4 linked regions of the Saccharomyces cerevisiae S288C genome follow. The protein of the gene in region 3 purifies or fractionates together with the protein of the main gene of each other region. This does not show direct contact. Each region holds a gene or a part of one and is shown on either strand. Other genes may lie near its edges. The genes, in order: PIL1, LSP1, SEG1 and EIS1.

Region 1 (6,743 bases), on a different chromosome or scaffold from region 3:
GAAGGCGGTGAAAACAAAAAGAATATTAAAAAAAGTAATGTATGGGTTCTCGTTGTACGGATGTTTAAAATGTCCTGAAAAATACCAATTAGACGGTTCTGTGCTTGTTATATATAGATGTCTATACGACTCAACATATGTATGTTGCTGCATTTTAGAAAAAAATTAGGCATTAAACATTAGGCTACACAGGAAATAATGTTTCCTATCAAAAGAGTTCTAACTTGAATTGTTCCTTCACAATTAAAAAAAATAAAAGAGTACATATTTAGGAGGGGGAAGAGATATTGATAATAGACTAAAGTAAGGAGTGAGGAGAGGGCAAAATACAATAATAGATGAAAAAAAAAATAGGAAAATAAAACAATTTTTTCAGAGTGAGGGAACAGAAATGATTATCTGTCCACGCATTAATTAAAAGAGATTAATTAGTATGGTAACTTGTTCTTTTCTGCTGGTTTTTTTTTTTTTGTTTCTAATAGATTGTTGATTTATTTTGATTAAGCTGTTGTTTGTTGGGGAAGAGACTCACTTTGCTGGTGTCCGACTTGTTCATGTTCTTCAACAGCACCTTCTTCTTCTTGTTCAGGTTCTTCAATTTGTCCATCTTCTTGTTCGTCTTCGGACCACCTGCCTTGACCGTCTTCCTCTTCCTCTTCTTCGCCTTCTTCAGGTTCGAAGTCTTCGTAATCCTGCTTGAAACTTAAAGTAGGCTTGACTTGGGCAGAGTCTAGTGTCCATTCATTCAGTGCGCTTTCAGCATCAATAATGATTTGTTTAGAGGCTTCATACCCATCGTAAGCAGGCCTGGTTTCACCTGGAGTGACAGGAGAGTCGTCCAATAGTTCCAAGAGAGCCTTACCGTAACCAGCGATTAAAGCAATTTTCTCTGAATGTTCGATGATGGAGTCAAATTGGTAGTTGAAAGCAGCTCTCAACTTTGACCTTGTGATATTAGATAATTGAGCTTCAGCGACCAAAGATTCAGCCTCAGCACGCACCAATTCTTGTTCCAAGACCTCAATCTTAGGTGATTGAGGATCTTTGTATTTCAAGTAGGCGATTTTGTCGGTGATCTTGTCCTTACGGTCTCTAGATGGTTGAACAGAACCTTCGATATCTCTGATGGACTTTAGAGTCAATCTGTATTGGTCATAACGATCGATAAATTGGTCGTCTAATTCACTAACTTCATAGATCAAGACACCTAATTTATCAGTGATGTCGGAAACATCGTCATCGTTTTCCAACCCCCAAATAGACAATTGCTTAGCAGCGTCACGTCTTTCGTTGGCTGTCAATTCCATGGACCTCAAAACATTCTTTTCAATCTTAACCAATTGAGACAACTTTCTGGATAATTCTGGGCCAAAAGCTCCAGCAGCACTTCTCCTAAAGCTGTAAGCTAGACCACCCTTCCCAAAGAATCTACCTTTGGTTGTAGATGGTGGTGGCGGTGGGTTCTGTAATTGAGAGGCGGTAGGTGCCCTGGAATTTCTTAAAGAGTAAGTTCTGTGCATACTATATACTTGATGCTGATATATTCTTCACTTTGCAATACTGCTAACAATGGAAAAGTATAGGTAAATAAATGTGCAGATGCAGATGTGAGACAAATTTTCTTTCTTGGGTTGGGATAATCAACGCATTGTACCCAAACGACGGGAAACAAGGAAGGATGCAGAATGAGCACTTGTTATTTATAAAAAGACACGGGAGGGGGAATCCCGTCTTTCGTCCGTCGGAGCCAAAGAGATGAGCCAAAGCAGAAAAACAGGGGACGCCGCCCTTCTTCCGTCCCGTGCGTGAGGGGGGCGCGGCCATTCGGTTTTTGCAATATGACCTGTGGGCCAAAAATCGAAAAAAAAAAAAATAAGAGGCGGCTGCGGAATTTTATAAGACAAGCGCAGGGCCAAAGAAAAAATAATAATTGACGTGGCTGAACAACAGTCTCTCCCCACCCCTTTCCAAAAAGGGGAATGAAATACGAGTTCTTTTTCCCAATTGGTAAATATTCAACAAGAGACGCGCAGTACGTAACATGCGAATTGCGTAATTCACGGCGATAACGTAGTATTTAGATTTAGTATAATTTGAACCGATGTATTTATTTGTCTGATTGATTTATGTATTCAAACTGTGTAAGTTTATTTATTTGCAACAATAATTCGTTTGAGTACACTACTAATGGCTTATTGTTTGGCATTTGTAGCGGCAGTCAATTGCGCTTGTTTGATCAAACTTTCCGGAGCATCAAAGACGGGCAGTTTCAGTTCAATTAGTCTGATCACCGAGTTTTTCTGGAACTCTGAATCAGTGGTTAAGGCATCCCACTCACCCGTAGTGGCGATCTTGTGATTTTCGTACTTTTTCGCACCAAATGCGGGCAACAGGGCGAGGTGATCCCAGGTCTGGATTTCGTTGTACTCTGCGTGAGGCCCATGAATCAGCTTTTCGATAGTGTAGCCGTCGTTGTTAAGGACAAAAAGATACGGCTTTAACCCCCATCTGATCATGGTGGAGATTTCTTGGACGGTTAACTGCAAAGACCCGTCACCTATGAATAAGATGACTCTCTTGTTGGGGTCAATCTCCTCAGCGGCAAAGGCAGCACCTAAAGTTGCTCCTGTTGTAAAACCGATGGACCCCCACAACACCTGCGAGATACCGTAGGCGTCCTTAGGAAAGATAGTTTGATTGATACCGAAGGCAGACGTGCCGGTCTCGGAAATGATAACATCACCTTCTTGCAAGAATTTGGACAATTCGTTCCACAACCACTCTTGTTTCAAGGGCGTGCTAGCAGGTACACCTTTGTTTGCGGGAGTTTTGGTTGGTACGGGAACGCTCTTGTAGCCCTTAACAACATCGGGAATAACCTTCAGTAAGTTTTGTAGTGCAAATTTCATTTGTACACCGAGGAACGTAGCGTTCTTCACCTTTACGTAATCGGAATGAAACTCCACTACATTTTTAGTCTTGTAGGAGTAGGAAAACGAACCTGTGTTAAAATCAGAGAGCAAAGCACCGACCGAAAGGATCAAATCAGCCGACTCAACGGCCTGTTTCACGTCTTGTTTGGACAGCGTTCCCACATAAACACCGCCATATCTGGGATGCTGTTCATCTATTGACCCTTTACCTAGAGGTGTCACAAAAGCTGGGAATTGCGTCAAATCAATTAACTTCTGGGTTTCTTTTTTAACGTTGTGCCTAGAAGCACAGGCATCCGATAGTATAACAGGGTTTTTCGAATTCTGGATCAATTCTAGTACGGTATCAATAACTTCCTTTTCAGCTTCGGGATCGTTAGGTTTTAATGATAGATCAATCGGTTTTTCCAAAAGAGAACCAGGAACCTTTAGATCTACCAAATTCGCTGGCAACCCCAAGTAGCTAGGCCTTTGTGTTATAAATGTTGTCCTGATCAACCTATCGATTTCTGAAGGGGCTGTAGCAATGTCTGTAATCATTGATGTAGTTTCTGAGATATTGGCGGACATTCTGTGAAAAACGGTAAAATCACCGTTACCCAAGGTATGATGCAACAACAATTGCTTAGCCTGAGCGGAGATAGAGGGGACACCAACAACATGCAGTACACCGACGTGTTCTGCATACGATCCTGCAATACCATTCAAGGCGGATAATTCACCTACGCCAAAAGTAGTTACCAGCACAGATAAACCCTTGATGCGTGCGTAACCATCGGCGGCATAGGCGGCGTTCAGCTCATTTGCATTACCAGCCCATCTCAATCCATCTACCTCGTAAATCTTGTCCAATAGGGACAAGTTGAAGTCGCCTGGTAGCCCAAAAATGGTGTTAACATTAACTTGCTTCAATCTTTCAAATAAGTATTTTCCAAGAGTAATTTCAGACATTTTGTTGGCAATATGTTTTTGCTATATTACGTGGGTTTTTTATTTATACTGTATATAAAAGAGGACTGCAATAGCACAAGATTAAGATAGAATGGCTTCAAACAGCCGCCTTTTATACATATTGGTAAAAGCTCGCGAATCGCACCATATCCCTTATCCTGTAATCAAATCGATCTAGGTGCAGATACAGATCAATTCATAAAAAGAAATTGAAGCACCAGTTTATCACTACTACACTATCTTTTTCTTTTTTTTTTTTTTTTGCGAAGTTTCGCCCTTTGTTCAATATCACTTGATAAGTTGTGGGCTTTTTCTGTCACTCATTCGGCTTAAAAAGTATTCGTTCTTTTGTGTTTTATGAAAAGGGAACGTGATATAAAAAAACATCCTTTGGTGTGGGACATGGGCTTTTGTTTAGAGAATGGTTATCACTACCGCCCCCACCCTTGAAAGCCACAGAAAATGAAAAAGTATGTGAATAAGGTGTGAACTCTATAACATTTTGGCCAAATGCCACAGCCGATCTGCATATTCCAATGGACATAATGCAACAACAATTGATGTCACATTCTCTTACACACTTCGATTGGTCCGTACGTAGTACTTTTTACATAACTGACTCAGGCGTTTCCTTCATTGAAATGCTCATCTATTGCCAAGTACATAGAATCCACAGTGCATAGGTTTATGAGATGCTTGGAAGATGTACGATCGCCTGCACTATATTAGTATATTTTTTCAGGCTTTACAAAACCAGAAAGAAATTACCGACTGTAATACTTAATTTCCATGATTTTAATCGTATGGTCCGTGAGGAAAGAGGAATTTTAGGTAAAAAAAAACCTTTGTCTATCAAAACATAAAAGAAAAGAAAAAAATTAAATTGAATAAGTCAGCTTTTTAGCATGACCACAGTAATAATAGTAATACGATATCAGCATGAGCTGCTAAACATTAAGAATTTTTGAATTGTGTTCGCTGGTAAGAGAAAATAGGGTAGCATTAGTTGCGAGATGGAAAATTAAAATATGCGTCATAAGGTATTTTCGACGTTGAAGATTAGGGGTTGCAAGTCCGAGAACTAAACTGCCTTCACGACGTCAAACTTATTGTATGGTGACAATAAAACGAATTCAAGAAGCCAGAGATGATGAGGAACCGATGACGAGGCACATGGGGATAGAACCTCCGTTATCTCCATTCCGCGTTGAGCAGCTCTCCTGCGTGCTTTCACAGAGACCCTAAGCCAAGACCGCGGACGGCCCTCTTTTTCAAGGGGATCACCGGTAAGGGGCCAAGCGGTGAAATTGCGTATTGTTTCCTCCTATCAATGATGAGTACGTCGCCGATCCAGAAGGGTTATTATTGTCATTGCCAGTACTATTCGTATGCTGAAAAAGTATAGTTCACTTCACCCTCTGGCTGCAGGCTAGCCTAGCCGATAATGCCCCCGACTCCCTCAACAGGTAGAATTTGTAAGGATTCGACGTAGCCTGGACACATTGTGCATTTATCGTATCCCCTACTGCTACACGTATAAGAAGTCGTTGCTTTACCTCTATTCCAGAACTCAATCTTGTCGTTACTTGCCCTTATTAAAAAAATCCTTCTCTTGTCTCATGCCAATAAGATCAATCAGCTCAGCTTCACAAATGAACGTGTTCGGTAAAAAAGAAGAAAAGCAAGAAAAAGTTTACTCTCTACAAAACGGTTTTCCGTACTCTCATCACCCATACGCTTCTCAATACTCAAGACCAGACGGCCCTATCTTACTGCAAGACTTCCATCTGCTGGAAAATATTGCAAGTTTCGATAGAGAAAGAGTTCCGGAGCGTGTAGTCCATGCCAAAGGTGGTGGTTGTAGACTGGAGTTCGAACTAACAGATTCTTTGAGTGATATTACATACGCCGCTCCATACCAGAATGTGGGTTACAAATGTCCTGGTCTTGTTCGTTTTTCCACCGTTGGTGGTGAAAGTGGTACACCAGACACTGCAAGAGACCCAAGAGGTGTTTCTTTTAAATTCTATACCGAGTGGGGGAACCATGACTGGGTCTTCAACAATACTCCCGTCTTCTTCCTCAGAGACGCTATTAAGTTTCCCGTATTTATTCATTCGCAAAAGAGAGACCCTCAGTCTCATCTGAATCAGTTTCAGGACACTACCATATACTGGGATTATCTAACATTGAATCCGGAATCAATCCATCAAATAACTTACATGTTTGGTGATAGAGGTACTCCTGCTTCGTGGGCTAGTATGAACGCGTACTCTGGTCATTCCTTCATCATGGTCAACAAAGAAGGTAAGGACACATATGTGCAATTCCACGTCTTGTCGGATACTGGTTTTGAAACCTTGACTGGAGATAAGGCTGCTGAACTGTCAGGCTCCCACCCTGATTATAATCAGGCAAAGCTGTTCACTCAATTGCAAAATGGCGAAAAGCCAAAATTTAACTGTTATGTGCAAACAATGACACCCGAACAAGCAACTAAGTTCAGGTATTCGGTAAATGACCTAACGAAAATATGGCCACACAAGGAATTCCCTTTGAGAAAATTTGGTACCATCACCCTAACGGAGAATGTTGACAATTATTTCCAAGAAATTGAACAAGTTGCATTCAGTCCAACGAACACTTGTATCCCAGGTATTAAGCCTTCTAATGATTCCGTTCTACAAGCCAGACTTTTCTCCTATCCAGACACTCAACGTCATAGATTGGGAGCCAACTATCAGCAATTGCCCGTCAACAGACCAAGAAACTTGGGATGTCCATACTCCAAAGGTGATTCCCAATACACTGCCGAACAGTGTCCATTTAAAGCAGTGAACTTCCAAAGGGACGGCCCAA
Region 2 (6,780 bases), on a different chromosome or scaffold from region 3:
CTACGAAAAGAGATCCAATTATAAACAAATTACCGGAAATGAAGAAACTAAGGAATCATTTTTGAAAACGTTTTATTTTAAGATGTTAACGCAAAAGAGGCTCATAATCATTATCTTCTCGGCTTGGTTTTTCACATCTCTGGTTTTCTTACCAGAAATTCAATTTGGGCTAGATCAAACATTGGCTGTTCCACAGGATTCCTACCTGGTTGACTATTTTAAGGATGTTTATAGCTTCCTAAACGTAGGACCACCGGTTTACATGGTCGTGAAGAATTTAGATTTGACTAAAAGACAAAACCAACAGAAAATATGTGGTAAATTTACAACTTGCGAAAGAGACTCATTAGCTAATGTACTGGAGCAAGAAAGACACAGGTCAACAATTACGGAGCCATTGGCTAATTGGCTGGACGATTATTTCATGTTTTTAAATCCTCAAAACGACCAGTGTTGTAGATTAAAGAAGGGAACAGATGAGGTTTGTCCTCCCTCTTTTCCAAGTAGACGTTGTGAAACTTGTTTCCAGCAGGGTTCTTGGAATTACAACATGTCAGGGTTTCCTGAGGGCAAGGACTTCATGGAATACCTAAGCATATGGATTAATGCGCCTAGTGACCCCTGCCCTCTAGGTGGTCGTGCGCCATATTCGACTGCGTTAGTTTATAATGAAACGAGTGTGTCTGCGTCAGTTTTCAGAACAGCTCATCATCCTTTGAGATCCCAAAAGGACTTTATCCAGGCGTATAGTGATGGAGTTAGGATATCAAGTTCTTTCCCCGAACTAGATATGTTTGCATACTCGCCGTTTTACATTTTTTTTGTTCAATATCAAACTTTGGGACCATTGACGTTGAAGCTAATAGGGAGTGCCATTATCCTAATTTTTTTCATTTCATCTGTTTTCTTGCAGAATATACGCAGCTCATTCTTACTGGCTTTGGTCGTTACCATGATTATCGTAGATATTGGTGCTTTGATGGCCCTACTAGGTATCTCACTCAACGCTGTCAGTTTAGTCAATTTAATTATTTGTGTCGGTTTGGGTGTCGAGTTTTGTGTTCATATTGTTAGATCATTTACAGTGGTCCCCAGTGAAACCAAGAAAGACGCAAACTCAAGAGTTCTCTATTCCTTGAATACCATAGGTGAGTCCGTCATCAAAGGTATAACTCTAACCAAATTCATTGGAGTTTGTGTACTTGCATTCGCCCAATCGAAAATATTTGATGTATTTTACTTTAGAATGTGGTTTACACTAATCATTGTAGCAGCATTGCATGCTCTCCTATTTTTACCTGCTTTACTTTCATTGTTTGGTGGTGAAAGCTATAGGGACGATTCCATCGAAGCAGAAGATTAGCCATAGCAGATTATACTATATTTTACGTAGTGAAAAAATAGGTAAAAATTCGTTAATTATTCTGATGCCACACCAGAAAATCTGTGGGAAAATTTTTCGAGTCAGAAATGATAACACTAACACAGGCTTCGTTGTTATCGTGCATTGAAGTTAGATACTTCTACTATATTTAATCTTTAATAGTGTCATAAAAGTATTATTGGTTTCGGGCGAAAATCGTCATTTTCGCACACAGAACTTCAAAAGAGGAAAGGCCAAAAGAACTAAAACCGATTACTTCGGGGTGATTTTGTTCTGGCATCTTCTGGCACTCTTGGGCATCCTTAGCCATTTAGTATATTTATGAATACATTAAGGTGTTTGACACAAGCACTATCCAAAAGTGGGAGAGAAGCTCCAAAACTATATCAGAAAGTAATATTTCCAGGCCTGTTCAGAGAGGGTATACCAATTGCAAATGTCAAGAAAGTTGATGAAAAAATAATAGATAGCCCAACATCAACGTCAGTTAATGGAGAGGCAAAAAAAATAGTACGGCATGGTGTGAAGTATGAAAGGGAGCAAGTTAAGGAATACCTTTCAAGCCTGCCGACTTTAACGCTTTCTAGGAAACAAATTAGGGATGACTATGATGAGGAACGTGCAAAACGAATGTATATGTTCTCTAAACAAACGAATTCCTCGAATAAATTCCAGAAACTTCTTACAGCAAAGTCTCAAGAGTTTACTAGAGAACTATTGACGCTACTGATAGATTGCACATCGAATGAGAAGAATTCAGGGCCAGAACGCTTCACTCGTAAGTTTCTTAAGTTTAGTAATGACGAGATCCCTCCTCTCCCTGACTTTTCAAAGAACCCTCAATTGTTTGAAAATTATATTGGAATACTAAGTCATACAAAGTTCAATTTTCGTTCATCTTCCAAACTAAATGGTATTGTGCGTAAGATGCTGCGGCACCTACTTCATCCAACCAATAAGACGACTCTGCCGTTGCGTTCTGCTCAAGTTTATAATGACTCAATATACTTTTTCAGTGAGCACTTCGACTTTGCGTCTTGTAGAGAAATATTTGCACAAATGAAGGCTGAGGGGACTAAACCAAATACAATCACTTTTAATCTTTTACTGCGTAATGTAGTGAAAAACTCGCATATTAGAAAAACGAAGCACCCTGACGATGAGGTCCTTTTTTATCTTAGAAGTATGCGTAATCATGGAGTTTTTGCAGATGTAATAACTTGGACGACATGTTATAACTTTCTTCGTGATGAAGTTTCGAGACAATTGTACATTGTTCAAATGGGTGAACATTTAGGAAATTTTAACGTAAATTTTGTTTATACTGTGCTAAGGAACGGAGATTATAGAGCAGAGGACTGTTTAAAAGTTTTAGCAGCAAATTCACTACCGATTTCCCGTAAGACGTTCTATCTGTGCATAGAACGACTACTAAACGAGGAACAACTTGAAACCGCATCTAAATTACTTGACTATGGTTTTCAGCACTTGAAAAGTAATTTTAAGTTGGACTCGGAGGCAATGAATCATTTCATGCGGGTATTTGCTAATAAGGGAAGAAGTGATTTGGCATTCCTTTGCTATAATACTTGTCGTAAGATTTACAAAATTAAACCTGATTCTCAGACGTTCGAAATGTTATTTAAAGCGTTAGTTAGGAATGGCAACACCAAGAATTTTGGGGCAGTCCTACAGTATATCAAAGACTTAAAGGTTAGTGAAGGATTTGGATTGCGGACAAGTTATTGGAGAACCAAAGCAGACTCAATTTTCAAATTTGGTAGTCCTAATACGCTATCAGAAAAGTCAATTGAAAAAGCAAGAAAATTGTTGGGCAACCTGATTGCTTCCGAGGGTGAGTTCTCTTGGAAAATTTGGAAAGAAAGTGATTCTTCACAAAAAAAAATACTACGTTTTTTGGGTTGTATCCCCACTACTTTACGCTGCACCAATACAGCACAAGATCATCAGAAGCCCACAAACCTACCCTCAAACATTTCCCAGAAAAAAAGAGAATATCGAAATCGGGTTAAAGCAATAGCCACAAAGGCTGCTTTGGAAAAAAGAATGGCGTATATCAAAGACAATGATGTAGCTTTCAAAAAAGAGCTAGTAAAGAGGAGAATAGTTGGGGAGGTTTGATGAGGGAGGCATAAGTGCCCTGGCATTTGGACAGGAATTTTATTAATATAGGCATTTTTATTGTACATATATACTTCATAGATCATATTCATTTAATTAGACTTCGAAAAGTTGAATCTCTTACGGCAAAGGAGAACAAGAGAAAGGTTAATTATTAGGTCTTATAAAATTTGTTCAATTAATTATAAAGGTGATTACAATACCGGAATATTGGCCGAACAATACTTGAACCAAATTCAGATGAAATTAATAATAGGTAGACACGAGCTGGTGAAAAACAAGCACAATATAGAAAGGTTCGAATATATTAATTATTAGAAAAAACTCAGATGTTTTCAGAACCGGAGGTATGACCGTTTTGACTAACATGATGATCGGCCTCATGGGCTTCATCATCTACAGGAACTTCAGTAGTCCATTCAACTTCCTCTTCTTCGACTACTTGACCGGGGATATCTCCATTTTGGATTTCAGGTTCTTCTTCTTCTTCACCATCTTCGTCTTCATAGACGTCATCAACGGTCTGATGAAATGAAAGAGTTGGTTTGACTGCAGCCATGTCTAGGGTCCAAGATTCCAAGGCCGATTCAGCATCCATAATAATTTGGCGAGAAGCTTCATAGCCATCGTACGCTGGTCTAGCTTCACCTGGAGTGACAGGAGAGTCATCTAGCAGCTCCAATAAGGCCTTTCCGTATCCAGCAATCAGGGCAAATTTTTCAGAAAGCTCTCTTAATGAATCAAACATATAACTATAAGCAGCCTTTAATTTTTCACGTGTGATATTCGATAATTGAGCCTCCGCAACCAAAGATTCAGCTTCGGCACGAACTAGTTCTTGCTCTAAAACTGGGATTTTTGTTGATTGAGGATCTTTATATTTCAAATGGGCAATTTCATCTGTGATCTTTTCCTTACGATCTCTCGAAGGTTGAACAGAGGCTTCAATGTTCCTAATTGATTTTAATGTGACTCTGTATTGATCATATTTATCGATGAACTGGTCCTGTAGTTCACCCAACTCATATATTAAGACGCCTAATTTGTCGGTTACGTCGGAAACATCATCATCATTGTCAGCACCCCATAGAGACAGTTGCTTTGCAGCTTCACGGCGTTCGCTGGCAACAACTTCCATAGCTCTAAGGACACCTTTTTCAGTCTTAACCAATTGAGATAATTTACGAGCCAACTCTGGCCCAAAGTTACCAGCCGCATTTTTTCTAAAACTAGACGCAATAGAGGCCTTTCCGAAGAACTTGGACTTCGTTGAGGATGGTGGTGGTGGAGGAGCTTGTAGCTCAGCAGCCGTTGGAGCTCTTTGATTTCTTAAAGAGTAAGTTCTGTGCATTCTTGTGTTGGAGCTTTGAAAGTTTAATCTTTCGTATACCAAATAAAGAGAATTTACGGTCAAGCATTGGAATTGAGGAAAGAGGTTAACTGATTTTTTTCTTTTCTATCTCACCTGTTTATATATTGCGATTTAGCCGTTGCATCTTCCCGGTTTTTCCGTCTTTTTTTTAAAGGGCCCCTTTTTATCCCCTCTAACGCCTTTCGCAATCCCCTTTTCACTCGGCTGCAACGAGCGGGGTTGTAAGAGCTAAGCTTTCTAGCCTAGCAATGAAATAGAAGGACAAGTCAGACGATTGACGTCAAAAAAATGAGTCGCCTCTCTTTCTTTCTTAGGCCAACTAGACAGCCGTAGATGAAAATATGGAAAGATATGATAGACAGCTGAGACTATGGGGAGCATTGGGCCAAGATAGTTTGAACCGGTCCCGTGTGTGCGTGGTAGGACCTGCTACACCTTTGCTGCAGGAAGTTTTTAAGAATCTGGTGCTTGCCGGAATATCATCTCTTACTTGGCTCAAAGTAGAGTGTGCAGTTCAATCGGGTTCTCTGTTTTTAGCAGAGCTTAAAAAAGATCTTGAGCCATTGGCTTCTAAACAGCTAGAATATGAGGAAAATGACCTTAGAAAGACGTTACAGCAACCTCAGTATGATTGGACCCGCTTCTCGGTGGTGATCTTGACTTGTATTGGTGAGCAAACTGCGATGCTCGATTTAAATGAGATTAGGCGGCAGAGAGGAACAAAGTTTCCGCCTGTTCTAAACACTTTCGTCTCTGGATTTTATGGATATATATATCTGGTACTCTCAGAAACACATTTTGTTTTGCAAGCACACCCAGATAGTAAGAAGTATGATTTACGGTTACAGAACCCTTGGCCTGAACTAATAAATTACGTAGATACATTTGACCTAAGTAAAATGGATACAGCCACGTTTTCTGGTATTCCATATACTGTTTTGCTCATGAAGTGTATTGCAAAACTTGAAAGGGATGGTAATAATGGGAGGATAACGATTGATCAGATGAAGAAAGTTTTAGACCAAATTTGCCTTCCTTTAGGGAATGATGTTATCTACGAACCCAATTATGTGGAAGCTAAACGCTATGCTTACTTGGCCTGCTCTCAAAATGATTGTTGTAAAGAACTGGAAGATCTGCTCCGAAATTTGGAAATATCAGATTATGGGAACGATTGGCATGATACTTATAACTACGAGATTCTCACACTATTATTGACTTTGAAAAATATTGCTAAAGAGAATGGGGAGCTCAGCTTTCAACCTTTAACGGGCACTCTCCCAGATATGGAGTCAACAACGGAAAATTATATCAGACTCAAGAAACTGTATGAAGTAAAAGCAAAGCTTGACAAGTCTCGTGTGGAGGAAAGTTTGGCTCGCAGTAAAAAAATAGTTTCACAGGATGTCTTGGAGACATTTTGTTCTCATTACGGGGAGGTCAGGAAAATATTGCCGCCAAAAAGTGACTTGTTAGGTATTTTTAGCACCTCGAATGCCCTTTTAGATGCATTAGTTATGGTCCAATTCTGGGAGCAACCGGCAGTAACTGCAGAGGATAAAGATGAGTTTATTGGTTTACGAGTCGACGATAACTATTCCGTAATGGCCTTTTTTGGAGGTGCAGTGGTTCAAGAGGCTATAAAGCTTATCACACACCATTACGTTCCTATTGATAACCTATTTTTATATAATGGCATTAATAATTCATCCGCAACATATAAAATATAAAATTTTTTCGTCAGCTCTCCGAGTTCATAGAATGCTTATTTTATTGTACTTCCCTGGTTTGCGTTGATGCAAATAAAGACTAAATGTAAACTTTTATGATGCATATGATATCGAATGTTTACAACAACGAGAGATCACCGGTAAGAACTGTG
Region 3 (8,635 bases):
GTGGCATTGCCCATACTAGGCGGGCAACACATGGAGGGCTAAGACGTGCAAATTGTCATCCACATAACTCAGATCCATCTAATGAATTTGTTGTGGTACACAACGGGGTTATTACCAACTTCGCTAATTTGAAAGCCTTATTGATGGCAAAGGGCTATGTGTTCAAAAGTGACACTGATACCGAATGTATTCCTAAACTGTACAAACACATTTATGATACAAGCATTGAACTCGGGTACAACCTCGATTTCCATGTATTAACAAATTTAGTACTTAAAGAATTGGAAGGCTCTTATGGTCTGCTATGCACTTCTTCTCATTTTCCCGATGAAGTGGTTGCCGCAAGAAAGGGTTCCCCGTTAGTTATTGGTGTTAAAGGTAAAACTGACATGGACGTAAACTTTGTCGAGGTGGAATATTTGGATCAAGAAGAAGACTACTTGAAGCTTAATACTCAAACCAAGAGTTCTGGTAATGTCTTGGCTGCCGCACCTGTAAAATATAACACTTGTTTAAGGAAGTCACCCCCCTTCGTTCACAATACCTGAGAAACTCTACAACTTCTACATTCAATCATGGCTCATCCACAGAAACGCCAGCCGAGAACGGCTTGCCGCGACCCATGGAATTCTATTTGTCATCCGATTGTGCATCACTAGCGCGGTATGTGAGTAAAGTAGTATATTTGGAGGATAATGATATTGCCCATATCTATGATGGGGAGCTTCATATCCATTGTTCTAAAATTGGTTCCGAGGACTTTTCATTTAGAACAGTTCAAAAATTAGAATTGGAGTTGTCCAAAATCAAAAAAGGCCCTTACGATAATTTTATGCAAAAGGAAATATACGAGCAGTGTGAAACAACAAAAAATGTCATGAGAGGAAGAGTTGACGCCTTTACAAACAGAGTAGTTTTGGGAGGACTAGAAAATTGGTTGACAGAATTGAGAAGAGCAAAACGAATAATAATGATTGCATCCAAGGCCTCCTTCCATTCATGCCTAGCTGCCCGTCCCATCTTTGAGGAGTTAATGGAAGTTCCAGTAAACGTTGAATTGGCCTTGGATTTTGTTGACCGCAATTGTTGCATTTTCAGGAACGATGTTTGCATATTTGTTTCTCGAAGTGGGGAGACAACTGATACAATTAATGCTTTGAACTACTGTATCAAAAAAGAGGCAGTCACAATCGGGGTAGTTAATTGCAGCGGTTCCTCTATCTCAAGATTTACACATTGCGGTGTTCATACAAACACAGGCCCCGAGAAAGGTATTGCAACAACCAAGTCTTATACTTCTCAATACATCGCTTTAGTCATGATTGCCCTATGGATGTCGGAAGATTTGGTGTCTAAAATAGAAAGGAGGAAAGAAATAATTCAAGCCTTAACTATAGTCCCAAGCCAAATAAAAGAAGTTTTGGAGCTTGAACCATTGATTATTGAATTGTGTGACAAGAAACTAAAACAGCATGATACATTTTTGCTTTTAGGAAGAGGTTACCAATTTGCCTCTGCTTTGGAAGGCGCCTCGAAGATGAAAGAAATTTCTTACGTGCATTCTGAAAGTATTCTTACCAACGAGCTAGGACACAGAGTCCTAGCTGTGGCATCTGATAATCCGCCAATTATCGCCTTTGCGACAAAGGATGCTTTTTCGCCCAAAATCGCGTCTTGCATTGACCAAATAATAGAAAGGAAGGGCAATCCGATTATCATTTGTAACAAGGGGCATAAGATATGGGAGCAAGACAAACAAAAAGGAAACGTTGTTACACTCGAGGTACCCCAAACCGTAGATTGTCTCCAAGGGATACTTAACGTTATTCCTTTACAATTAATTTCTTACTGGTTAGCGATCAAGAAAGACATCGGAGTTGATTTGCCAAGGGACTCGGCGATGTCGGCCCCGGATATATAAAAAAGTGTTCTTTAATTCCTTCTAATTTCATTAAAACAAGTACTTATATTTTGGGCAGTATGTAGAATAGATGTTCACACTCTATAGCCAAATAACTTAATTATTGGTCAAGGTAATCTCTTGCAATTGGTGTCACTGCCACATCTTTTAACGTCAACAGTAAATCCGCAAAATCCCGTCGCGTCGCCGCTAAGCAGGCCCAATTTTAGCTCACTGCGGCAGCGGGCTGGCCGTGTGGCGCGAGGGTCAACATGCAAAAAAGGACGATAGATAACCTTAAAGGAAGTATTCATTTCTTCGCTAAATTTTCAGTGCTCCCTTACTTTACCGACAAATTGGATAAAAACATATAAAACACAACAGCAACACGTAGCCATACCAACCAATTCCACAAATCACCAGCCGTTCGTTCCTAAAAATGTTTAGAAGAAGAACAACTGCACCAGAAATGGAACAGGCGGACCCGACAGCAGTGGCAGCTGCAGCAAGTATCGGTAAATTATTAATGAAGAAGGGTAATCAATCTGATAACGAACAAAGGCCGACCTATCGATCCGCTTCGATGACAAACTTAAGAAAACCTTCTGCCCCCAAAAGAATGTCTTCTATTTCTAGTATATCATCGGAATCTAGAAGGAGCGATGGTAAAGGTCGTCCCGGGAAAATAAACAGCCTTACCCAACGGTCATCAATGGGGAAGGGAGATTCATTAAATTCTCCTTTAACGAAGGAACCGCAGCACAAAACTAGGTCTCACAATAGAACTTCGAGTCTCCCTAACCAGAGAGGTCAGCAAAGCAGAAACAGTTCTGGTTTACAACGTCAAAAGTCCAAAACACACCAAAGAATAAGCTATGATGAGGCTCAACGTACGTTCAAGGATTTTGGCGGACCACAGGCCAGAGGAATTTTAACGGGACAACACCGTACTGAAAATCCTAGCGGGTCTATTCCTTTGAGGACTACGCGAAAGTATATTCCTGGGCCCAACGGGCTGGTTGCAATTGAGGTCCCCGTTGAAAAACCAAGCAATGCCAATACTTCTAAATTGCTAAGGCGTTCCAACTCTGCCCACAGTGCCTTGAATGCAAGAAATGGTTCACTTTTAAGAAAAAAAGTATCGCAGGAATCTTTACATTCTCAACCAAAGAAGACTTCGTCTTTAGGGAATACATCAAGTACACAAGCAAAAAAAGGCCAAAAGGCGGTTCAGGAGAGAAATCTTGCCAAGAAACATCCAATAAATTCAAATGTTCCTCTCATTGAAACACAAGTTCGTGAAGAAACAGACCAAGAGTTGAAACTTGATAATTCTAACTCTTCCGAATCCGAAACAGTAGTCAATAGCGAAAATAATCTAGAAAAACCTTCTTCACTAAACATTGAAAAAGATGATCTAAGCAAACTAATACATGAAAACATTGAGTTAGAAAGTTTTATTGAAGAAAAAGGGAAGGAAAAACCTTTAAATTCTGATCAAGAAGATGTTTTCATAAGCGAAAAAACTGTAAAAGGCGATGTACAATGGCCAAAAAATAACCGTCAAGCATCTACTCTTGAGAAAACTTTTAATTACGACAACGAAGAGAAGAGGGAGGGGAATAAACCAGTAGCAGAACATCCTCTTCCGGAGGCCGAAGTGGATGACAAGTCGGTTGAACAACTGAACAACATTTCTTCTAGCGGCAGTTATTCGGCCCAAGGATCAGTTGAAAACTCCAAACCAGAAAATGGCAATAAAAATCTAGAGAATGACACAACATCGTCTCCCACACAAGACCTTGATGAAAAATCCCGCTCAATAGAAGAGAAGGATACCTTGGAAGGGACCGAGAGTTCAAAAAAAGTTGAAAAGCCAGACAATTGTTGTGAGAAAATTTCTGGTGCTAATACTTCTTCCAAAAAAGGGAATGTTGGCGATACTAAGGATGAATTCTTCGATACAGTAGAAGAAAGCGATCAGAAAACGAGCAAGTCGAATTCCTCCAAGAACACCGATCATTCTAATCAAACAGAACCAACGCCTTCTTTGGCTCAGTATTTAAGGACCTCAAATACCTACCTTTCTCGAAAAAACCAATCGAAACAAGCTGAGCAAGAAAAGTTTCACAAGCCTGAAGCTCCTATGGTTCCTGTAACGAAAGTAGTTACACCAATCAAATCTGCTCTTAAAAAATCGTCAGGATCGTCCAACCATGACTCATCCATGTACTCTGATAACTCTCCCGCCAATGGCGCATACCTGTCTCTTACGACTGCTGAAAATACGAGATTAAATGCTCAAATGACGATGTCCGACAGCGTATCACGCAGAGCAAGTTTAAAACGATCTTCTATAAAAAGACCTCAGTCAGTAGGCCAGTTCAGAAGCATCAGATCAAATTCGCCTTCTCCCCCAGAGAAAATAAACAATAAACGCCATTCTGCTATACCCCTAGGAACCCCAGAGAAGGGTAAACCAAAAAGAAATTCGGTTATGGCTTCTCTGTCTAAAAATTCGCAGCAAATTCAAGAGCCCGCAAGTGTATATGAGTCAAATGGCCCAAATAAACCTAAAAACCAAATCAATAAGAATATAAAGAGAGGATCACAGATCGCGCAAAACAATAAACCTTCAACGAAGGACATGAATAGTATTTTGTACCCCAAAGAACCACCTCCTCGCAAATCTAGTTTTGAGAAGACGAGAAGCAATGAATCCCATCTCGGATTTAAAAAGCTTTCTTTGAGAAATGGTAATTTTGAGGAGGCATTGAGTGAAAGCTATAATGGGCAAGCTAGCCAGAATAGCACAAATGTGAATCGAACCGATACAGCACAGGAGTTTTTCAAATATTTGGGTCATTCATCAAGATTTGCGGATTCAGACTCAGAAGATGAGTCCCAATTTTTCAACCAAGGCCCATCAAAATACAACACAGAAACAGAAGGCAATAAAACCAGCGGTAACAAAAATAGTAATGGTGGTAACGGTGCTTTTTCGCTTTTCAAGAGCAAAAGTAAGCAAAAGGAAAATAATGTGGTTTCCCCTGGAGTCTCAAGTCCTAATCATACTACCACCGATCCTGCCATTACAAGTAAAAAGGTGGACAAGAAATTCAGCGGGTTATCTTTAAGAGCTGCCAGTGAAGCTGAACCTGCAAAAAATTCAAACCCTTCGATGACCAATAGGTTACGCTTCTCTAGTAATCCAGAGAACGGCGAAAGCAGGCTCCCACAAGCACAGGAAGTCAGCGTTACAAAAGAAAAGAAGGGTAGTTTCGGCAAAAAACTGAAAAAAATCTTTGGTAGAAAGAAATAGGGACTCTCGGCAGAAATTCTCTCCTTGTACAAGTTATGTATTTTATTCTTTTTCGTGCTCGTTCAACTTCTGAACGATGGCTTCCATGCACTGTAACATATAAAGGATTTTTTAATAATGAATAATCAAGAAATCTCCATTTTATATGCTTTTTTTTTTTTGCCGTTTCCACTGCAATCAATGGCGATATAATCGGATGAACAATAAATATTCGTGTTCCTATTCGTGTTCCTATACGTGTTCCTAGCAGCAAACAATAACAGAAGAGAAGCATTTGATTTTCGTAAAAACTTCAGGTGTGGGTGTTTCTTATTAACGGTTAAACTTTACGAATTGAATCCCCTATGTATAATGGTCCATAATACATCTTAAACCACCAAGCCATCTTCGTAATTTTGAACTGGGAAAATTGGGAAAACTGCAGACATTCATAATCATGACAGGATCTTTAAACAGACACTCACTTTTGAACGGGGTAAAAAAAATGAGAATAATATTATGCGATACAAACGAAGTAGTTACCAATCTCTGGCAGGAATCTATACCCCATGCATATATTCAAAATGATAAGTATCTTTGTATTCATCATGGGCACCTTCAATCTCTTATGGATTCAATGCGTAAAGGTGATGCAATCCATCATGGCCACTCTTACGCAATTGTTTCACCTGGTAACTCGTATGGCTATCTTGGAGGAGGGTTCGATAAAGCTTTGTATAATTATTTCGGGGGAAAGCCCTTTGAAACATGGTTCAGGAATCAGCTTGGAGGAAGATATCACACGGTCGGATCTGCTACAGTGGTTGACCTACAGCGATGTCTTGAAGAGAAAACAATTGAATGTAGAGATGGTATTAGGTATATTATTCATGTTCCGACCGTTGTAGCCCCATCAGCTCCTATATTTAATCCGCAGAATCCCCTCAAGACAGGGTTTGAACCGGTTTTCAACGCCATGTGGAATGCCTTGATGCATTCTCCAAAAGACATTGATGGTCTTATTATTCCTGGATTATGTACTGGGTATGCAGGTGTACCACCCATTATCAGTTGCAAGAGTATGGCCTTTGCGTTAAGACTATATATGGCGGGAGATCACATAAGCAAAGAATTGAAAAATGTGCTGATCATGTATTATTTGCAATATCCGTTTGAACCTTTTTTCCCGGAAAGTTGCAAAATAGAGTGCCAAAAACTAGGAATAGATATCGAAATGCTGAAATCCTTTAATGTAGAAAAAGATGCAATAGAATTGCTCATTCCTAGAAGGATTTTGACCTTGGATTTATAAAGGTATATAATATAAAGTCTATTTTCAATTTTTCAAGAACTTGAACTACGTTTGTAAGTATGTTTCACCAGATATAACGATAAAACAATTCCCACTGCTGCCAGGGCTATATTTGGAATATAGGAAATCAGGAATGCCTTTTTGTAGACATCAAGAATGCGAACAAATATATCCGTTGGAAAATTGGGCCCTCTCAAGTAACTCGAATCATTGATAAGGGAGTAGTACTGCTTTTTGGTGAAGTGATATTCGTCATCACGCTTGGTTTTGAACATATAATTCCATAACATGGACGACAGGCTATTCTCATAGGACACTAAAGTTAAAGAGGCACCAAGAACGTTACCAATGGATCTCCACAAATAGAAAACACCAGTCATGGTTCCTTGCTGTGATTTTTCGACGGTGAATACGATGCTTACTAACGTGGCCACTAATAGACAAGCGTAACCAAAGGACACAAGGACTGATGCAAACACATATATCAATTTCCACCATATTGAGTTAGATCTGAATGTAATAGACTCAAGCATATCATATATGGTGTAGTCAGGATTCAAGTGTGAAAGTAGGAAATAGCCCAATCCCAAACCCAATAGCTGCATTATCATACCACCAAAAATGATTTGATATGCACAGTGTGCTAGGTTAATTTTCGTATTCCGCAATACCCATCCTGTTACCAATGATCCGACTGCAACTGATATAGAGGGGAAAATCAAAAAGAGGCCAGTCTTTGTTACACTAATATTTTGAAGCAATTGTAAATAGATTGGTGACCTAAAGATTTCACCAAATACAACAAATGAAGATATAACCGTTACCGCTGAGCTCAAACAGAATGAGCGAGTCAATAGTTCGAATGGTAAAATTTTCTCAGTCGCGTAATAACGTTCAACCAGGATAAAAACAATAAAGCTACCAATGGTAAACAATGCTAAATACAACTTGTTCAACTGGCTAGAGCACAAAAATAAAACTCCACTAATGGTCGCCACCAGGCTTAATGAGCCAAATATATCTATCCGTGACAGATTCTTTAAGGTATATCTTTCTTTCATAGGAGGAACATGGAATAGCTTAATATTAATGTTTTTGATTGCTAATACCGAGCACAACATTATCACGGGTACTTGGATACCAAAAAGAGCCCTCCATCCAATGGTTTCTATAAATACACCACCCAACGGAGCACCTAGTAATTGACCAAACCCGAAAACAATATTCGCATATCCCTGGTAAACGCCCCTTTCTCTTGCTGTACATATGTCACTAACAGCAATGCTACTAATAGCATTCAATCCTCCTGCACCAATACCACATATGGCTCTTGCTATTGAGAATTCCGTGACGTTTCTGGCAAAACATGTTAATAAGCACCCAAGGCCAAAAAAAAATTGAGCGGTTAATAATGCTGACTTCCGCCCTGTTATATCAGAAAGCTTCCCATATAGTGGTTGGAAAGCCGTATTTGTCAAAAGAAAACTCGTCGCAATCCATTGCTTTTTACTTGATTCAGAGAATTCCTCAGCAACTCTATTCATTATATTTGCGACAATAGTGCTATCCAAGGAACTCAAAAAACTACCCAACCATAGCGAAAACAAAATGGGAAACTTAGGTAAGGCCAAATTATATTCATGAAATTTTTGTTCCAAGGGAGGGGCTTCAGCTTCCTCAGGTGGAGGGAGTAGATTTGAAGTCTCGTCTAGTGTTTGCATTCTTCTTGTTCCCTCAACAACTAGGGCTCTGAGCTTAGTGAAGAACAAAGAGGAGACAAAAAACAAAATAATTCGATAGAAAAAAATCGCTGCTGTATTCTTATATTTTGGGAATGTGGGTTGGCCTAAAGTGGAACCGCATGCTCTTCTCTATCACCGGCCCTTAAGATGACCTACGTTTATTGTCGGACAGATATCATCCAACAAAACGACGCAGTGAAAAAGTGTATCATGCGAATACTGAAGATAAGATAGGCTAAGCCGTGGAATCAGCGATAAAAAAAAGATCGCGTGTATTAACCAATGACAGCCTCACAGAAGCGCTTTGATCATATATAGATATAGGTGCATTTATACACGTATATATATTTACATGTTTTCAGATTAGATTATATGGTAAA
Region 4 (8,290 bases), 110 kb from region 3:
GCAACAACTGCAACAAAAAGTGCGAGGATATGGTCAATATGGACCAACAATGTCGGTGGAGGAATTTTTAGATAAAGAGTTTGAAGAAGGTCGCGTTCTTCAAGGTGGCGAAGAACCAGAGCAAGCACCAGATGAAGAAAACATGGACTGGCAAGATAGAGAAACCTATAAAGCTCGTGAGTGGGACGAGTTCAAGGAAAGTCATGCTAAGGGAAGCGGAAATACCATGAATAGAGGATAGAAAAAAATACCTATATACGTACACATAAGTATCTATTAGACAGATTCATATATTATTTTTTTTTCTGCCTACATCAGTTATATTTTAATCTTGTGCAAAAGGACTTCGTTATTTTTATTCACGGTGATTAACACCGGCGTAGAATCTACAATCAGATTTGAAGAAAATACCACAGGCTCTTTTCTTTCCGAGAAGTTGATGTCTGCTACGACAAATTCGTCGATGGATGGTTTTAGGTTTTCTAAATTCCTAAACTCAAAGTCTCCATTACTATATGATACGGTGATTATGCTGTCGTTCAAATCGAGTTGTATTGGTAGTGTTGACGATGGAGTCAATTGTTCCTTCAGTACAACTTTTTTCTTATCAAAAGAATAAACCAATAATCTCTCATTGCTTAGCTGAATCAGTAGCTTAGAAGTTTTTCTATCCAAAAATAAATGGTAACCTTCTTCTTCTGGCTTACCCGATAATATTGTATCAATCTTCAAATCAATTTTTTGTAGAAGCTTACCCTCGAAATCATATATGGTAAGCTGGTATGGATTTGAAGACAGTAATATTAAGGATTTTTCTGTTATACCCAATATACAATCCAGAATGTTTGTGGAATCATTACTATCATCGTCATCATTATCATGTGTTATTTCATATGTTTCTTTTATGTTAATTGGGACATCCTCAGGAGCCTCTATATTGTCCAATTCCCAGATTCTAATTTGAGATTTATTCTTACTAGCTATCAACAACCATTTATTTTTGAAGTCTATATTAATGATATCACTAGACGAAAACGGCTGTTCTGAGTCTTGTAATAGGTCCACATCTGAGATCAAAGATGCGCTAGAAATAGAGAACAATTTCAAATGGAAACTCTTTTCAATAACAAGGAGTTTGGACGTCGAAACCCAGAAAAATTTCATAATGTCGCTATCTTGCCCTAAAGATATTTTCTTTAAGAGTTTGGAATTCAAGTTTGCGTCCACTTGGTGTATTTCTAACGATTTGGTGTCTGCATCATAAAGTGCCATACAGTCCCCGTAGGAGCTGATAATGTCGACTTTCGACAATTCCGAGTGTATCTTGGATATTGTTTCATTATTTTCACGCTTGTTGGCTGTGCTAAACAAAGATTTCACTTTGGTTGGTGATGGTGACTCTGAAGGACCTTGCTTTGGATTGGGTTTGGTGTCCAAGAGGGCATTATTTAAAATATCCATCCCATTTGTCTTCGCACTGCCCTCTTCCTTGGGAGTATTCACGTTCAGTTTCTCTAAATCGTGCAATTCAGAACCCGCTTCTCTGCTATTTAATGACTCTAACTGATTGACCGTGTTAGGGCCTTTCAACAAATAAATTATTTCCTTCACATTTTCTTGAACAGCTAGCTTAGACTGCAGTAATGAATCAGGCACATGTTTTTCTTCCTTTTCACCTTCAGGAGAAACAGCTTTCGATTGTATTTGATTCAATTGATGCTTCAAATCTCTATTTTCGCCCTCTAGTTCTGCAATTCTTGCTTTCATTTCCGACCTTTCTAGCTCCCAGGTGATTCTATCTCTTTCATTCTTCGTGAACTCCGTTTGCAAGTAGTGCATTACACCAGGTAACGTGTAATGCGGATGAACATGTGCCTGGTTAATAGCCATATTGTTTTCCGGTCTAACTACACGCACTTACTTCTTTTGGGTTTCTTTATTAATGTTGTTGCTTGCTCCTCACATTTAGTCGTTCTAGGTGGCTTTTATCTAAGATTACGCGACGGGGAAGATCGCAAAGTTAAGACCAATAGAGTACTATACCATATCCCAACAAAGAAGCCTAGGGGATGGTGCAGCAGTAAAAACTGAATAGACTATAATAGATCATCCTACGTAAAACCCGAATAGGTTATCTCTTAAACCTTGTTTTCCTGTAAAGTTGTCCCGCGCATGTGAAGACGCAGAGAGTGGAGATCAATCTTAAAACAACTGAAGCAACTAGCACTTTCTTGACATTTAATAAGGAACTATTATCGCGTAAACCAAAAGAAACGCATGTAAAACATCTGCAAGTTACTCCATCATCTGACACCTAGAGACGTACGTATCAGAACGATTTGAGTGGAGGGGTACAAAAAGGGACTCTGTAGATCAAAAACTGTAATATTATCCTTTTTTTTACTTTCTGAGAAGCTATTCGAAAACAAGGAGATAGAACTACAAGCAGTTATGAAGGACCTAAATCCAGAAATGGGGAAATTTGCTACCACTAAAGGCCCTCCTCAAGACAATAGAGGCATGGTTGATATAGCGACACTGCCTAATTTTCCTGCCAACCGTAGTGGGACTCCTCGTGAGGAGATGTATCTGGCGCCCAACAAGATGGAAACTCCAAGGATACTTAATATGAATATGGTACCGGATTATTTGCAAAAAGAGAACTTCTCGCCAGATTTTTCTTCTGCTACCGTATCTGCCAAGTCATCTCCTGTCAACGTTACTCATGATGAGTCGCTTCCTCTGGGAACTATTGAATCGAATAGCACAAAGGATTCTAAATATGCAGTTCAACGGCAACAGCAACAAGTGGTAGATTTCATAGAGAATAATATGCAGCTACTGTCTTCAGAAACACTAAATTTTAGATCAGACATTATGAAAACTTTGGAGCTTCCCATTCCCAAGAGAAGAGATATTAAGGGAAACCATCTATCTAAACTATTATTTGCTAAATCACCTCTAACTATCAACACATATTGCCAATTTTATGACCGTAGAACCAAGCGAATTTGCAATCAAGAAATGATATGGAAAGATAAGAACAGTAGAGAGAAGCATGGTTCTAGAAAGTATCAAAGACATTTGAGTAAAGTTCACGATGTCCAGCTAACACCAAATAATTTTACCGAATTTTTTGATCATAATTCTCCACTTTTCCAGGAATGCTATGACTATCAATCTAGATTGATGCGTGATTTACTTGTTGAACCAGATGCCAAATTCAAAGAGAAGAAAAAGAAGAAAAAAGGGGACGTCAACGGAAATCATCCTGAAACCGGATCGAGCCTCATCAACCACCAGGTCCAACAGCAAAATGTTCGAGAACTTCAATCGAAAATAGCCATGAACGACTTGATAGAGATTCTTATCGATTTAAACATTCCGTTTTCTGTTTTAGACTACCAACCAATGAGAAATTGGCTCATCAAATATTCAATAATTTCAACAGATACTTTGCCGGATGAAGTATACTTCAAAACTGATCCAGGCGTGAATGAACTGGAACACAACAGTAGTAATTTAAACAATAGCAATAGCGGTACTCCTCATAATCATAATCAAAACCAACATACCAATTAATTAAAACTTGCTTTTAATCTGCATACATAAAACTTAGATCAAATAAATAAAAAAAAAAGTAAAACAACCATATATACTATTTCATAAGCAAAAGTAATCAAATTAAACAAAAAAAAGAAAATACAAATATTAAATTTAAATTAAGGCAATAAACATATATTATACACATAAAAAGAATAATTAAAGCGCAGATGAGAACTATCTTAATTATCAAAATTCTGTAGTATCCCACTCAACTGTTCAATATCTTAGCCGCACCATTTCTTCGTTATCTAGGCTCACTAGCAATTATTTTTTCTCTTGATTACTAATTGCATCCTGATCGTCTTCGATCGAAGAACCCTGTGAAAAGCCACTAAATGTATGTTCCAAACTATCAGGGCTAACTCCCAATGATTTATTGTTTCCTGCTTTCTGTGAAACCGAGATTTCTTTTGAATGCTCCGCTGATTTACAATCATTAGCGTCTTCTTTTCCACTTGATTTATTTCCGATCGAAATTTTTTCTTCAGGTTCCTTTGTTTGAACAGCAGAACTAGTTTCGGTAGCTTCTTTTGCGGCAGTACTCACCGGAACCCCATCACCACCTGAATTTTTCGTTTCGGCTCCCACTATCTCTTCCTTCTTTAGTTCATCACCTTCCTCTATTTTTTCAAGTTGGGTTGGTAAATCTTCAACATTTTTCTCGACGGATTTGTTTTGTGTTAAATACTCCTCAGAAGTCATACCAATCAATTTTTTAACCTTCTCTTCGTCAATCTTATCATCGCCACGTGCAGAAGCAACATCTTTCATAGCTTCCAACAAATTTAGTTTTTCCTTCTTTAACTCGATTTCGGTCGCGTTCAACTCGCTCTTACGTTCGTTAATCAACGAATCCACTTCCAATTGCTTCAGACGGGCCTCCTTGGTTGATAACTCAGCCTGCTCTTTAGCCTTATTAGCAAGAATAATAACGTCATCATTCAAATGGGATTCCAAGCTTTCTTTAGTTTGACCTAGTTCCAGTAATTTGTCATCCTCTCTGATATTTCTATTCTTCTGGGCGTCAAGATCATTTCCGTAACCAGAGATCTTTCTTTTATGGTCAACTATAGCATCCTGCAATCTTGAGATTTCTGCGTTAATTTCATCGCGCTCTTCCACTAAAGTTTTGTGTTCCGCTTCTGCATTTGCCAGATCGTCATGGTAAGGTTTCAATAGTTCTTCTTGCTCTTTGCGCGCTTCAGTGATATCTTGTTCACATTTCTTACCCCATTCCTCCAAATCTTGATCTAGACGAGCTTTTTCGTCCTTTAACTCTTGCTGCATTTGCTTTTTAAATTCGATCTCTTTGCTCTTGGTATCTTCAAGCAGAGTTTCCCTTTCAGCGACTTTGGTATCCATTCTGGCCACAAGTGCATCAAAGCTGGCTTTAATCTTTTCCTGGGAGGTCTTTTTTTCGGTTTGATGCCTATTAGCCGTAGTAGTCAATACTTTGGCGTCATTAGAAATGATAGAACGTTCCATCGTTTCCCATTCATTTGATGATTTATTATAGGCCTCAGTTCTTTCTGCAATTTCTTCATCCATAGCACGTTGCGCCTCCGCCCTCTCACTCACTTCACCAAGTACAGGAGAAATCAATCCGGATGCGATTTTAGTGATATCTTCTGGTGACAAAAACAGGCCACCACCCATGTTAATCTTGTTATGGAATTCTGTCTTTTTCTGATGATTAGACTGTGCGACAGCGACAGCAGCTTTGTTGTATTCCATATTAGTGAATAGCTTTCTATGCATATCGCTTTTTTCAATGATATCCAATTGTCTGTCAACATTGGCTCTTGCCAAAGTCAAAACTTGCTGAGAAGTTAATTGGCTCAGATAGGTTTCCCTCTTCTGCGCCTTAAGAGCTATACTTTTGTCGATATCCTCACCAGGATGCATGTCTTTCACAGCATTAGCAGCTCCTAATGCAAATTTCATCGACTTGGCTTCTTTCTCAGCAGAAACTTTTTTGACCTTTTGTAAATCTTGTGCTTTTGGAGCATCAACTTTCGCCATAATGTTATTCATCATCTCATTGGAGAAACTGAATTGATTTAAATTACCATGCTCATCAGTCTTGACGCCGTATTGGAAGTTCGTCTTTTCCGGTTCCCATCTTTCCTTAATACGAGATTCTGCCTTTTTTTCAGCACCCACTAAGACTTTCTCCAAATTCAAAGTCTTTGGTTTAGGATTAACAGTACTGTTGAAACTGCCACTCGCGCCGCTTAACACAGAGCTGGCAGAGGTGATAGAATATGACCTGCTGTTTGTTTGAGAGCTTAAACTTGTAGTTTCCATTGTCATCGAATAAGCTTTCGATGCGGCGGCCCCTGGAGATTCTTTGGACTTTCTCTTCGTCTGAGATTCTTTTGAAGTTTTAGAAGTAGCAGAAGTTATTGAGTTGTTACGTACAACTTTGGGTCCCATTTTGGATGCAGCTTTAGTGGCATTAGGGTCAATAAACATACGTTTGTAAGCTTCTACCGTGGTTTGATTGTCATGAGCTAAATTAGCTGCCTTGTCGGAAGCTGCATGAGCGTCGCTGACGCCAATTGAGTAACTTTGGGCAGGTGACTGGTAAACCCCGTACTTCAACTTCGCCTTATATAAAGCCTCCCTGCTTAATGGTTCGCCTGTTGTCTGGTATACCTTTGGTTTTCTCAAAGATTTAGAGCCGTGTTTCAGCGACTTTTTCGACGAAGTTATAGACGAAGTCCTGCTCCCTCCACCAGAAGTCTTTCCTATATTATGTATGTCTCTATCTTCTACAGCTGAAATTAAAGACATTGGTTATTTTGCGTTGGTTCCCTATATGCAAAGCTATTTAACAACTAAAGACTGTGTAATCGTCAGAGTGCACTATTTTGCTTCTTTTCAAAGTAGCTGCCAAAGAGCTGAACCTTTAGGATCCACTGAATTAATAAACATTGGTGATATACTGCAAGCAACAAGGAGTTCTCCCCATCGAGTGGCAGTAGTTCTTCCCCCTCTCGAGGGTGCCCCTTTCGGTAGTTTGCGATTTTCTTCCAGAAGAGCACCGATTGCCCCATCCGGAAAGTACTATTTCCCTTTTGGGTAACAGCGGACCGAAGCGGAAGCGTTCGAGTAGCCGAGGTATATGATTTCCTCTTTGGGCAAGTTGTAAACAATAAATGGTAAAAAGTTATGAAATATATTCAATGGTAAAGGTCCATTTGATAAAGTACACATTCACTGTATGAGGGAAAGAGGAAAGCCAGCTAGAGCATTTTTTTGGAGCAGGCGAGCAAACAATATAAAATACAAAGGCCTCGTGTGAGACTTGGAAAGTGTACTACTAATATTCAGAAAAAGGTGAAAGAATGAGCTACAGTTATGAAGCTTGTTTTTGGGACCCAAACGACAATGGTGTGAACATCCTTCTGGGTCACATTTCTCAGGGAATAAGATCTTGCGACTCAATGATACTTTTCTTTAAGCAGCGTAGTGAGCTTGAGAAGGACTATGCCAGGCGGCTTGGAGCCATCACGGGAAAACTAGACAAAGACATTGGAACAAACATGGATTATGGAAAGTTGAATGAAACATTTAATGTGGTGCTCAGTGTTGAGAAAGCTCGAGCACAATCGCATTCCAAGCAAAGTGAGATTCTTTTCAGACAGATTTACACGGATACTAAGGCATTTGCCGCTAACTTGCAAGCAAGATATACTACATTGAGTGGAAAGATTGAAAGGTTGCGGATGGACAAGTTCAACAAGAAAAAGGGGTGTGAGGTGTTGCAAAAGAAATTACAGGATGCCCAGATTAGATTCAGAGACTTGCAATTGAACGAGAATAATATGATTGGGGCCAAGAGAGTAGAACACAACAAGAGAGAACTATTGAAATGGGAATCGAACTCTCAGGAATATAAGGTTCAACTAGACGTTCTTAAGCAAGAATATAAGGCATCGCAGAAATTCTGGATACACGAGTGGGCGCAATTATCCTGCGAACTGCAAGAAATGGAGAACGCTAGAATATCCTTTTTACAATCGAAATTACAACAGTTCGCAACCTCATCGATGGAAACATATATTTTAGAGCAAACAAAAATGGACATGTTAACAAATCATCTGAACTCATTCACGGCAGCGGATGAAATATCGACGTTTTCAAAAGAAAATGGAACTGGTAGACTGAAACATAAGACTTCCAAAGGTGACATGAATTCTAGCGCCAACTGGGCTCAAATGAGCAGTATCTCCACGACAAGTAAAAAAACCGAATCGTATATGGACAATATAAGGAAACTATCTTCTCAGCTGAAGGAAACCGAAAATAAAAGGAAACTAGCTTCAATAGACAAATATGAGAAACCATTGCCATCTCCAGAAGTCACCATGGCTACACAATTTAGAAATTCCACACCCGTCATACGTAATGAGACAAAAGTGGTTGCTAACCCAACATTATCTTTGAGGTCTTCACCCGTCCAGTTACAGAGCAATGTGGATGACTCCGTGTTAAGGCAGAAACCTGATAAACCAAGGCCGATTGTTGGGGAAGAACAACTTAAACCTGATGAAGATTCGAAAAATCCTGATGAAAAAGGTCTAATGGTGCATAAAAGAAATCAATCTCTCAGCTCACCATCAGAATCAAGTTCTTCTAATCCAACGGATTTTAGCCACATCAAAAAGAGACAAAGTAT

The links.
Region 1: the proteins of SEG1 (region 3) and PIL1 purify together in Saccharomyces cerevisiae (affinity purification with mass spectrometry; 6 studies listed by BioGRID). This does not show direct contact.
Region 2: the proteins of SEG1 (region 3) and LSP1 purify together in Saccharomyces cerevisiae (affinity purification with mass spectrometry, with the first as the bait; 4 studies listed by BioGRID). This does not show direct contact.
Region 4: the proteins of SEG1 (region 3) and EIS1 purify together in Saccharomyces cerevisiae (affinity purification with mass spectrometry; 3 studies listed by BioGRID). This does not show direct contact.

Annotation. Positions count from the first base shown.
Region 1 is NC_001139.9:649,098-655,840, forward strand, and holds PIL1 (lipid-binding protein PIL1), read right to left. Parts: upstream 1,521-6,743; coding exon 501-1,520; downstream 1-500. Other genes in the region: PDC6 (indolepyruvate decarboxylase 6), read right to left, coding at 2,193-3,884; CTT1 (catalase T), read left to right, coding at 5,537-6,743. UniProt on the Saccharomyces cerevisiae protein: Negative regulator of cell wall integrity (CWI) in unstressed cells, probably by inhibiting protein kinase PKH1/PHK2 activity and regulating their downstream CWI pathways PKC1-MAP kinase pathway and protein kinase YPK1 pathway.
Region 2 is NC_001148.4:546,781-553,560, forward strand, and holds LSP1 (lipid-binding protein LSP1), read right to left. Parts: upstream 4,878-6,780; coding exon 3,852-4,877; downstream 1-3,851. Other genes in the region: NCR1 (sphingolipid transporter), read left to right, coding at 1-1,363; AEP3 (Aep3p), read left to right, coding at 1,706-3,526; ULA1 (Ula1p), read left to right, coding at 5,240-6,628. UniProt on the Saccharomyces cerevisiae protein: Together with PIL1, main component of eisosomes, structures at the cell periphery underneath the plasma membrane that mark the site of endocytosis.
Region 3 is NC_001145.3:436,869-445,503, forward strand, and holds SEG1 (Seg1p), read left to right. Parts: upstream 1-2,339; coding exon 2,340-5,222; downstream 5,223-8,635. Other genes in the region: YMR084W (putative glutamine--fructose-6-phosphate transaminase), read left to right, coding at 1-548; YMR085W (uncharacterized protein), read left to right, coding at 623-1,921; PDL32 (putative ADP-ribose 1''-phosphate phosphatase), read left to right, coding at 5,659-6,513; VBA1 (Vba1p), read right to left, coding at 6,546-8,234.
Region 4 is NC_001145.3:328,342-336,631, forward strand, and holds EIS1 (Eis1p), read right to left. Parts: upstream 6,403-8,290; coding exon 3,871-6,402; downstream 1-3,870. Other genes in the region: TAP42 (Tap42p), read left to right, coding at 1-241; FAR8 (Far8p), read right to left, coding at 319-1,890; RSF1 (Rsf1p), read left to right, coding at 2,452-3,582; formin-binding protein HOF1, read left to right, coding at 6,957-8,290. UniProt on the Saccharomyces cerevisiae protein: Required for normal formation of eisosomes, large cytoplasmic protein assemblies that localize to specialized domains on plasma membrane and mark the site of endocytosis.